Linked DNA regions of Caenorhabditis elegans. The protein of the gene in region 2 purifies or fractionates together with the protein of the main gene of each other region. This does not show direct contact. Each region holds a gene or a part of one and is shown on either strand. Other genes may lie near its edges.

The links.
Region 1: the proteins of T22C1.9 (region 2) and T10D4.11 fractionate together in Caenorhabditis elegans (co-fractionation; one large-scale study listed by BioGRID). This does not show direct contact.

Annotation. Positions count from the first base shown.
Region 1 is NC_003280.10:3,146,387-3,151,650, reverse strand, and holds T10D4.11 (CW domain-containing protein), read left to right. Parts: upstream 1-2,029; coding exon 2,030-2,144; intron 2,145-2,190; coding exon 2,191-2,330; intron 2,331-2,377; coding exon 2,378-2,613; intron 2,614-2,659; coding exon 2,660-2,703; intron 2,704-2,751; coding exon 2,752-2,894; intron 2,895-2,940; coding exon 2,941-3,143; intron 3,144-3,203; coding exon 3,204-3,219; downstream 3,220-5,264. Other genes in the region: T10D4.14 (G_PROTEIN_RECEP_F1_2 domain-containing protein), read left to right, coding at 1-25, 75-153, 198-315, 373-430; T10D4.1 (DUF19 domain-containing protein), read right to left, coding at 962-1,159, 1,207-1,346, 1,403-1,511; T10D4.15 (CW domain-containing protein), read right to left, coding at 4,886-5,091, 5,157-5,217.
Region 2 is NC_003279.8:7,955,193-7,961,461, reverse strand, and holds T22C1.9 (uncharacterized protein), read right to left. Parts: upstream 2,816-6,269; 5' UTR 2,754-2,815; coding exon 2,649-2,753; intron 2,605-2,648; coding exon 2,517-2,604; intron 2,181-2,516; coding exon 1,819-2,180; intron 1,589-1,818; coding exon 1,556-1,588; 3' UTR 1,304-1,555; downstream 1-1,303. Other genes in the region: T22C1.12 (C6 domain-containing protein), read left to right, coding at 2-274, 929-1,057; T22C1.8 (Protein-tyrosine phosphatase), read left to right, coding at 3,143-3,281, 3,330-3,484, 3,636-3,816, 3,862-4,249, 4,355-4,554, 4,602-4,711, 4,759-5,328, 5,373-5,405.

The DNA.
Region 1 (5,264 bases), on a different chromosome or scaffold from region 2:
TGCTCTGAGAAGCCTGATAATGCAGGTACAGTGCTAAAAAGTAATAAAGCTCAAATTCCAATTCAAATTTCCAGTTCATGACTACCCCTGTCTCGTTTATCCCAGCATTCATGCTATTCGTCGTGACAAACTTTCCAACCAGATACTCACAAGGTTCGTCTCTCCACTGCATTTCGGGAAGAAATATGCATTTTTAGAGATTTCCCGGTACTCAATGATGATAGCAACTACACACTCCACGTTGAACTCATTGGTAGTCATCACAACGTATCCAGAGTTTAGAAAGATCTTCTGGAAACGGAATAATGTTATACAGTGAGTTAAATTTAGAGTTTGTGTTTTGGGACTCGTTTGCTAAAAAAATCTTTACAGAAGCTCTTTTCTGATATCATCCACGAGGCCGTCTGGTTCGAATCGGAACATTGTCTAACTTTTGCATCGGCACATCGGCATATGCCGACCTTTTTTTCGGCACTGTTCGGAATATTCACCAAAATTAATTTTTTAAACTCATAAATGCAAAGAAACTTCAAAAATTGATTAATATGTACGGAATTTATCATGTTAATTTCAATTTTACTAACTTCAATGGTAAAAGAATTTGATTTGTTTAAGAAGCTATTTAGTTTCTTTTCTAATGTGCCGAAGTGACGAGTGCCGATCGGCACAATGTGCCGACTTTTTTTTTTGAAAACGAAAGCACCAAAGTCATACAGCACAGGGCTGCCTTCTGTATCTGTGTATGAAACGGTATAAGGTCCGTCGATGGTGCACTGAATAAATTTTCCACCGCTTTTGGATTTATATACTTTGTTATCAAACTTAACAGTGTGTTAGTCAAGCTGAAATCATTTATTATTTTTAAAGCATTTCAATTAGTTTATTCCAGGTTTGAGCTCACTCAAGATGGACACTCATCGCTGGAATATTGTTAAATTAATCATGTTTTCACCTTTACCACTTACCACAATACAAAAAAGACCTTGGATTTCAGCCCATTAACAGTGTCCTCTTCGACCAGGCTGTTTGAAAAGTCCGATCCTCTATAGACAGCTCCTCTTGGATATTTTGTGATGTACCATTCATTATTTTCACAGATCACGCCGCATTGTGTAAAGATGTCAAATGGGCCGGCAGTACCAAGAACAGCTTGAACAGTCTGAACCAGGAATCTAGAAATTTTTACTGAAAGCATGGAAGACTCACTCCAAGGCCCGTAACGTCATCATCTGGCTTAGGAATTTCGGATTCTCTCCAACGAAAGGCAATTGTAGTATGAGTACCTGGCACGCACGTCGCATTCCGATTGCATCCAGCATTTTCCGTGTAAAATATGTGTTCTTCATCTATGTAGAAAAACGATTTGGTGGAGGAAAAGGTAGTAGGTAGTGCAAAAACTTACTTGTTATTAGATCAAGAAAGCTTGGACACTCACAATCGTCTTCGCATCCATATTCGTCTTCGCAGGCAACATAGCAAATGAGAAGTAGGAAAATGAGATATTGCTTCATTTCGACCATAGACAGTATAGTTTTGAGTGGCTTTTATACGGTTAGCTGATCAATAATCTTGTTAAGTGTTACTTTCCAAATGCAAATTAGAGTATTTAACCAAACATCAATGCTTGACTACTTCCGGCTTTGCGGAAATTTAAAGTTATAATTCAAGAATATACATAGACCATAATTTGAAAAGTTTAAAACTTTTTCCCATGGAAAGCAACACACCCAAGATTGGCTTACAAAAGTTTCATTAGTGATGAAAAGCGTGATAACTAAAGGGTAGGTAGGCGAATCCTTCTACCTACCTTTCTTGGTATAAGTTGGTCTGATGTCGACAAAATCTTTTTATCCGGCTCTATCTTAAAATGGCAACTGACCGAACATCTTTTGTGTTAATTAATCAAAATGTCTACAGTATTGATCTCTGGTGCTCCAACATCCTAGCTATTAACATATTAACAGATCAATTTACGAACCAACTCGGTGAATAAAAGGACAGACGTTTAGAGAATTGTTCACATGACAACATGAAAATCAAAATTTTTGCTTTTCTGGTCATATTTTTTTCGTGTTTCTGCATGGAACGTCTAGCATGTCAGAACCAGAGTTGCCCGTGCTCCAATCTCTATGACAACCTGAACGGTAAGCCAGCTGCTCTGACAGTTTAGTCGTAACTAGATGTATTCAGATGCAGAAAACACGGTATACTACGAGGGGCTAGGTTGCTCCAGAACCGTATACTGCACGGTCGGCTATTGGACGTGGCTAACTTTGTCCTGGGAGTTGTCCGACATACCCACTCCAAGTGACATTTACGAGGATACATTTGTGAGTTACAAGCACTTTAACACACCCTCAAGATTGATTACGTTTAGTTTGCTTTCACTTGGAATCATACAGACCCTATGGGGGTTTATGCCGGGGGTCCTATCACTGACCTGGTCTCTCTGTTGGGAATGCAGTGTGACCGCAGTACAAGCCAGTGGATTGTGACAAGATACCCATTTGGGTATTCCTATTTCAATCAAAACGATGAGAAGATTGTTATTGATGGGTACAGCGTGGAAGGCGTCAGATCAATAGTTTCGTCGACGGATTCACGATTTTCTTGGTACCCGTGAAATAATACGATTTAAAAAAATATATACAAGTTTCAGCGCAAATATGTGCAGATGTTCAGACCTGATGAGCTTGGTCGAGGGTATTTAAATTGGTGGGCTAGCTCTCAAGCCAACTTAATTGATTTCAGATTCGTCTGAAAATATTCTGTACACCTTTAATGGAAATCATTGCAGTAGCAATTTCACTTGTAATGCAGACTCCCAAACATTCATCCGATCTAGTTTTGACGGGTCGGAGATTCCTGGTATTGGTAATCGTACGGGTGCAATGGTAAGGGAAACCAGAATGCATCATCAACTTGACTAAACAATCTCAGCTGATTCCCACGATTCCCGAAGAAGATCAGCCAGAACACTCCTCTATAAACATTATGGTCGAACTCGGGATATATTGTCATGAAGGGGAATGGTATGTAACACAATATCCGTATGGAGTTACATACATGGATGATACTGGAACGAAATACATCACCGGAGAGGATTGGGGAGGGAAGAAATCTAAAGTTCTTGGGTTCAGATGGTAAATGATTTTGACTTTAGGTTATTTTGAATTTAACTGATTGTGAGTTTGATTTTTCAGTACAAAGTGGCCTTGAACTTCGTCGATTGTAGCAATAAATAATGTCCATGTAGACTATTGTTAAGATATCAATAAATACAATAGTCCTTCCGCACTAGACGCAGACCACATATGATGTGCAACTAATTTTATTTTGGCTTGTTAGAATGTAAGAATGTTGAAGACTGCAAAACTAATTGAGAAAATTTTGAAACACAACAGTAGTTTCTGGACAGGGCTGCCTTCTGTATCTGAATATGAATAAGGCCGCCTTTGAACCGCCAATAAGCCACTGAATATATTCTCCACCACTTTTGGTTTATATCTTTTGTTATCAATCCTAAAAGTGTGTTAGTCAAGCTGAGATCGTTTATTAATTTAATTTTTAAACGGTTCAAAAATTTGGAAAATGGGGGTTTTATTTCTGAAAGTTCTTGAAATTTGATATTATAGATCTGAGAATAAATTGTAGAAAGTCTTGAGTGGATAACATTTTTTTAACCTTTTTTTTGAGAAGTCGGGGGGGGGGGGCAGTACTAATAGAATACGGTTTAATTCAAAGTACACTGCATTCGTCATTATGTTCTTGAACAGAAAGCACACATAATTCAACAATCGTTTTAACAAAATTTCAGAAATTAAATCTTTCATCAAACAAATCTGTCTACTTTTTGACCACCTGTCAATTTTTACATATTCCGTAATAAAATTATGTTTTAAATTCAGAAAAGCTCAACATTTGCAATAAAATAGCTAGACAGTTCTGAAAGAAGAAGGCGATTATTATAGTACGTATTTCAAAAAAAAAAGGATCTTTCAGAAAATCCACATTAGTTTCGTTCTTGCGTCCCATTGGTCAACCGCGGAATTGAGAGATGATCTTCACTATTTTGTATTGTATTATTTTTTTAATGACGCCACGGGTGCCTGGGTCGTTGTAAGCGTGTAAAATACATGCAAATCTTCAACAAAAAACATTATGTTTTAAACATTTATATTAACGTTTTTGCAACGACATTGAACAATGAGTGTATGATAACCATTTATTACGACAATCGACACAATACACGACTTCTGTCCCTTTCACGGCCATTCTTTGCTGAAATTGGTATTTTATTTGTTAATGACGTAATTTAATTTCAGAGTACCAAGACATTGAGATAAAGGTGGATCTGACGTTGTCAATCTTTTCATTAACGACAATCTTTTTGCCTCTATTGTCGAAATAATAATACCCGAACGGGTATCTGGTAATGTACCAGAAATATGCAAAACATCTGTCATTGACAAGCGACTTCGTATCGCAGGCACATTGTATTCCCAACAGAGATACGAAATCAGGGTTAGTGGGCGGAAGTTGATTATAGAGCGTTCGATTCCACATTGAAGCATACTGAACTTGAAAAAATTAGCGTCTAATGCTTTGCGGAAATGTCAACGTTTGGCATTTTTTGTGACAAATCAAACTAAAAGACCTTTCAAATAATTGATGAATTATTGAAAAAGTATATATTTTTAATTTTTCTATAAAAAATTGGTTACTGTTCCAAAGTTGAGGGAAAAATACGGTAAGTGTTTTGAAAAACTGAAAAACGGAAACTTTTTTGAATAAGAATATCATTCATACTGGGGTGCACGGCAATCGAATTTCAGGCAATTTAGGTAATTTCGACAACTGCCGGAATTCCTGATAGTAGGAAATTCTAAAACCCAAAGTTGCAAAAATTGACGATTGCCGCGCATCGTTGAATCATAATCACGATTAGGCCATCTCTTATGTCACTCGGAAGACTCGGGAGGCCGGACCAACTTGCAACTGTATCCGCAACGGGGTAATGATTAGATGGGCATGTAGCACTTATAGTGCATCCCTTTCCCTCATTGTATAACATTGTGTCTCTTGAATAATCTGAAAATAGCTAGATGAAACATAAAGTAATGTAAACCTTATCTGCACGAATTACAATAGCTTACAATTGATTCTGCTGGTAAAGTTCTTGCACGGGCAGATTTGATCCTCAGGCCAGGTGCTTACCTAAAAAAGTGTGAAGAGTTTAAGAACTGAAATTAGAATTGAAGGAC
Region 2 (6,269 bases):
CATGACTATTGGTTCTATATTTCTGGTTGCTTTTATAATTTCTTTGGTTCAAGCTGAATCGGTCCCTGTAATGTGTAAATGTCCGGTACTGAAACAAGTGGATGCGGAAGTTTATGCAAAAATGAGAGCACAACAGAATATGTCGATTGGTGAGATTCCAAAGTTTGCACCATTGGATATTGATTATGGAGATGATTGTACTCAAGTTTCAATTACTTGTTTATATCCACGTTTTACAAGACATCGATCTTCTGTATATTATACCAATGGAGTTGTAAGTTTAAGAAATCTTCAGTAAAAGTAGGAGTGCTGTAGTTTTGAAAGAAAAATCAATTGTTGTCTTGGAATGGATAGTATTTAGATAGGGGATAGTGAAGGGAGGAGTAGAGTAGGACTGAATATGCAAAATATACTATTGAGAAAGAATTATCAACCCGCAAATATTTTACATAACCTGAAAAATCTGAAAACAGGAAGCTAAATAATTTAAAACAAATGTAAACTGTTTTCACATGCTAGAAAAACTGAGAAAAAATATTCTGCCCCGGGCGGGATTCGAACCCGCGACTGGTTTAACCCAATGAGATCATAAGTCTCACGCCTTCGACCGCTCGGCCACCGGGGCACTGATTCTGAAAAATGTGCAACTCATTGAAATCGAAGTTATCAGATAACTCTCGGATTGAAACGTCTTTTCTGTAAATATTTTATCGAGTTGAATGAAAAAAGACACTAATTCAAGCAGCTTTTGATTTAGTTGCCTTTTTTATAGAGAAGAAAATATAGTTTGTTTGAAGTGTAGGAATGGAGTTAGAATCCGATCTTCTAAAAGTATTTGTTTAAATTTCGAGAAATACTCGTTGTTTTCTAATTTTAATTATGTTTGCTGTTGTGAATCTCAAATATTATAAACAAGTTTCAATTCCAGAATTTCTCAACAGTTCGCCGCCATGATTTGTCTGATAAGTACAGTATCCGATGTAACCAAATGACAGGAGTTTGGCTATCAGACGAAAATTCCGAGATTAGTTATGTGCCTATCGTCCGATGCTTGTGAACAAGGTTTTCTCTGGAATTTGGGAAGAGTTTAGCCATTTCTTCAATGTGATCTGGGATATCTTGAAGACTAACTTCGGATTCCTAAAGTTTATCGTTGGCTATGAATAATTTTGTTCGAAATAAATATGTTTCATCATCTGATAATGGAAAATTAAACTGAATGCAGTACGATTTTTCAGAATTTTAGATTCATATTTCGATTGTTATTTTGAACAGGAAGAACTCACGGCATTCATTTATTTAATCGGCTGTATGATTTTATTGAAAAATTCAAATATCGTGTGAAAATCAAGAAAAAAAGTAGTAAGTTGAGGATATAAATTGCAGTTTAAAATTTGAAATTTTCCTGGTAATTGGCTCAGAAGGTGTTTAAAATAAGTAGAATGGCATTTGTGAACAGTTTCATTCATAAATAAAGATGCTCTACAGTTCTATAAGTCTACAAGTTTGGAGCATTCAACATTTGCTATTCTTTGGTGAAGGTGAAGAGAGTTTGCTACTTTTTGAAGTTGAAGAAAGACTTGCCCAGCTGTAAAAATATTTCATTAAAAGTTTCCAATTGTTGGCAGCAATATTTTCTTATTTTCTTTGTGCTCATCAAAGCTTTTTCTACGATAAGCGGCTCAGGTGCCGCTCCAAACCACGCAGGCAACGCCTACAACCACGCTCAAGACTGCCAGCTTCTGCGTGGTCTAGACGCGTTGCCTGCGTGGTTTGATTTATCTGAGGTACCTTCAAAATTCAACGATTAAAAAAAACCTTTTTAAATCCACTCGGCTCGTGTTCCTCTTCAGAATTATGTTCCATCTGAACAACATGAGAATCTCGTCCTCCATCGTTTCGATCTTTATTATCATCCTTTTGATCACCATGAACATCTTCCTTCTTATGATCATCATGTCCTACATCTTTTTCAGATTTCTTGGATTTTGTAGACTTCATCGACTTTTTCGATCTGATACTTTTGAAGCTCTTGGCCAACGATTCAGCTTCACCCAATGCACCTAATTTTTTACAAGTCTTTTCTGATTTTTGAGCCATTTTGGGATCCGGTTTCTCTTCTCCATCTTTTGTCACAACGGTACGCGCTTCAAACGATGGATGGTTACATTCTTTACCCTCTGAAAAACATCCAGTTCTAAAATTCCAACATACACATTTTGATTGTTTCTTATGGGGTTATTCAAGTAGTGTCGGAAAATTAAAAAGTGTAGAAAAATTACGTCACAACTGTATTCAAGTATATAAAAACGTGTATTTAAATACATTTGTGAGGTCACAAATGTATTTAAATACATTTTGCTACATTACTTAAATAACCCCATTAGAGATCTTTTGCAAAAAATATCAAAGCACCACCTAAACCAGAGCTAGGATTCTGAGAGCAAAGAAAATCTTATCTGAGCAAAAGCCTGACAGGAAAAGTTCCACAGAATATTAGAATATTCTAATATTACTTTTCAATCTCCACATAGCACACATAAACCAAACAGCACAGCTCAGAGTACAGAAGACAAATCCAACAGAAATTACAATCCAAAACCACTGAAAAATTTCAAAAGATTAGAAGTTTTTAAAAATGAACTTACCATTGGATAATAATGATGATCGTATATATCAATTGTGACATTATTACCGAGAGTCAAAACTCTTTTAGTGATAAGTGAAGACGAAGTATTTGCCGGTTTTACCATCTCTCACTTTTGAAAAGTCAGGAATAAATTTGATTGTTCGAAGTCGTAGTAGATTTGTAAATAAGATTGTTTAAGTTCGTTGGCAGAAATAAAAGTTCACGCATTTCAGAAATGTGAAATTTAGAAAATGTTATTTTCGTAAAAACGTAAAATACAATTACAACAACATATATGTATATATTTTTTTAATTTGAACTTCCACGTCCCCCCCCCCCTCCTTATTTGAAAGTTGTCAATATCAGAGATTAGTCGAAAGTTGAATTATTTCTACATTTGTCTTCGTCAGCTTCGAACGAAGAAATCAAAATAAAACCGACGCTTCTCGAAAAAAACGAATCGTTCCGAGATAGTGTAATCCATCAATCAACGGATCAGTGAACTGAAATAAAATGCAACGAAGAAAGGGAACACGTGGAAATTCGCAGGATGATCAACAGGCATCTCGACGCCTTGCGAAAAAGCCATCTGACGAAAAAGTTGATGAAAAGGATAAAAAGAAAGGAGGAGTACTGAAAAGATTGGGATTTCGTGAGTTTAATCATACAGTATTATTTAGAAAAATCTGAATTCTTTCAGTTCTTCACAATGAGAAAAAGGAAGAGGTTGGAAGCACCCAGAAAAGGAGAAAACCAAAAAGAGGAACCGAACGGAAACGAGCATGTTCTCATCCGGTCTGGAATCCTGACAAGAAGATCCACTTCAATAACGAAAAAACGCATGCCATAATCCCGGTAAATACTTTTGGACTTTTTGGACGTTAATTATATTATTATACATTCCCGTATACATCGGGAAGGGTGCAGGTAGACTGAGAGACCTCGTCCGGGTGGAAAGTACAATAAAAAGAGAAAGCACTTCTCAATCCGAATTTATGATTTTCAGTTAAAAGGCGATCCACTGTCGGATGTACAGAAGAAGGTTTTCTTCAAGTTTGCAAGTGATGCTGTCAAGAAGAATCCTCCAGAGTACTCAGTCGAATTCATGACAAAAGTGAAACCATATCCTGGTCAGCCAATGGAACGGAAAATCTTTGACGCGAACCCAACAAAGAATCGCTATAAAGGTATGAAATATAGGAACTTGAATCGAATTAAAATTAATATTTCAGATGTTGTTTGCAATGACATAACACGCGTGATTCTCAGTGATGGTGGTGATGGAGATTATATCCATGCAAACTATGTAAATGGTTTGAACGCTCCGTTCATTTTGACACAAGGCGCCACTGCAGCAACTGTCATTGATTTCTGGAGAATGGTTGTTCACACGAAGACTGCCTACATTGTGATGCTATGTGAGGTGATGGAAGACGGAAAGGCTAAATGTGCCCAATACTATCCGGAAAAAGCTGGAGAAGCAATGACTTTCGGAGCATGGACCATTCTGTGTTCATTGGAGGATGATAAGGATGCGAATATCATCAAAAGAACATTATCAGTTAGAAATGTGGACAATGGGAAGGAACATATTTTGAAGCATTTGCATACAAAGTCATGGTAAGCCACTGATCTTTACAGAACAACATTCGGTTTAGTGTCATTGAAAAACCAAAATCAGAAAACTCAAACTGAAAATCTTTATAATAATAGAATTACTTTCAGGCCTGACCGTTGTGTCCCTAACTCTACGATGGCTTTGCTCCGAATGCTCTACATTGTGCGCACAGCTTCCGGCCCAGTCACTGTTCACTGCTCCGCCGGAATTGGCCGAACAGGCACTTTTGTTGCGATTGAAGCATGTCTTCAAATACTGACGGATGGGAAAGAACTGGATTTGCTGGGAACTTGTAGAGCCTTGAGAAGTAAGTTAATATTGAAATGATGATTTTTATTAATCACGTTTTTTAAGACAGCCGAGCCGGAAGTATTCAAGTTGACATTCAATACATGGCACTTGTGCAGATTCTGATCAACTACGGAAAGGATAATGGCTACTGGGATGACTCGGATTTAGATGATGTGAGTGTGACTTCAGTGGAAAGCAAGGTTTATGTATTATATTTCAGAGAGTTGAGCTTCTCACTTGGAACATCCAGCAGTTCATCCAGACACGTGGAAAAGTGGATCACGTACCAACAACACCATCCACACCAGCACTCAACATCATTCCAGCTGATGCCAAGCCTGTTCCAGTTGTTCCAAAAGAAGCTACTCCACATCATTCTCCAGCAGAAAAAGCACAAGAATGCATGGAAAAGATTTGCGAAAAGATTCTGAAACCTATCAAAAAGGACAAAGAATGCAAAGAGCACAAATCTCCGAAGACTGAACATCCAAAAGAATGCAAAGATCATCCACTTCCACTCGAAACAAGATCTTCTTCGGAAGATGGACCTGATATGGAAGACCAAAAAACTCAGGCGACGCAAAAAGTTGAGATCAAAGAGGAAACTGCTGCCCAGAATGACAATATCAGCATGATCTCTCTTCCAAATGAACCACTTCTGTCGATTCCCGTTGTGAGAAAGAACAGTAAAGATGGTAACAAGGACAGTTGCGATACGAAAGAGAGCAAGGAAACAAAGGGACACGAGAAGAAGAACTCCAAGGAAGGCAATTTCAAGCTGGTGAAAAAGGTATAAAGTTCGAATGTTTGTAGTCGTAACTAATTTATTTTCAGCAATCTGCCAACCGTAGTCAATACTTCCTGTAATGTTCTGCCATTACCAGCCCGCTCTTGTGATCTACTATCGAGTTCCCAAAATTTTTTTCCTTGAATGAATGGTTACTTGTATTTTTTGAGTTTTCACATTTGATTCATCTTTGCGACCAAAAAATTAGACATCCGGTAACCTTTGTCCGAGTGGAACAGCACATATTCACCTCATTCTCGTAGTTAGCTCCGTCACCTTCAGTCTTATTCTCCTCTTCGATCGAAAATCGCTGATCTTCTTTGAACAACGATACGATTGTCGGAGAGCGGTCTAGAACACCTTCAGCTTCATTCTTCTAAATACTTTCAAACTATTTTCAGTCAGACATTTGTAAAAGTTCAATACTTTATTTTAACTTTTCAAATAACCAACTCCATGATATATTATTATATTTGTTTTTTTTTCTTCAGTAATCACAGTACAGGGATACAGTTATCAACATGATTTGCTTCAAGAAACCGCAAAACCTGAGGTTTTGGAGGGCTCTGTGCATCCAACAAAAAGAAAAAAAAAAGAAAGACTGCCCTTTTTAGAAAAATTTGAAAAAAGCCTGAAAACAAACTGTGAATTTTAAAATTATCAGAAAATTGGAAAAAACGTATATTTTTTTAAATGAGATCGTCGCTTAGCTTTGTCTGAGGGTCGTCATGCTCGAAGGATCGGCGAATCTGGAAAAATCACATGCCCTACGGTGTTCAATTTTAGATATCGGGAAACAATAAATAGATCTGAAGAAAAAATCCCTGTTTTGCATTTCAATAGACTTTTTCTTTGTTTTCGTAGTTCTTCAAGTATTTCAATCTCTTCCTGTTCTCCACATATGATGTCCATCATCATCTCTCTTTCTCTCTTTCTTATTTTTG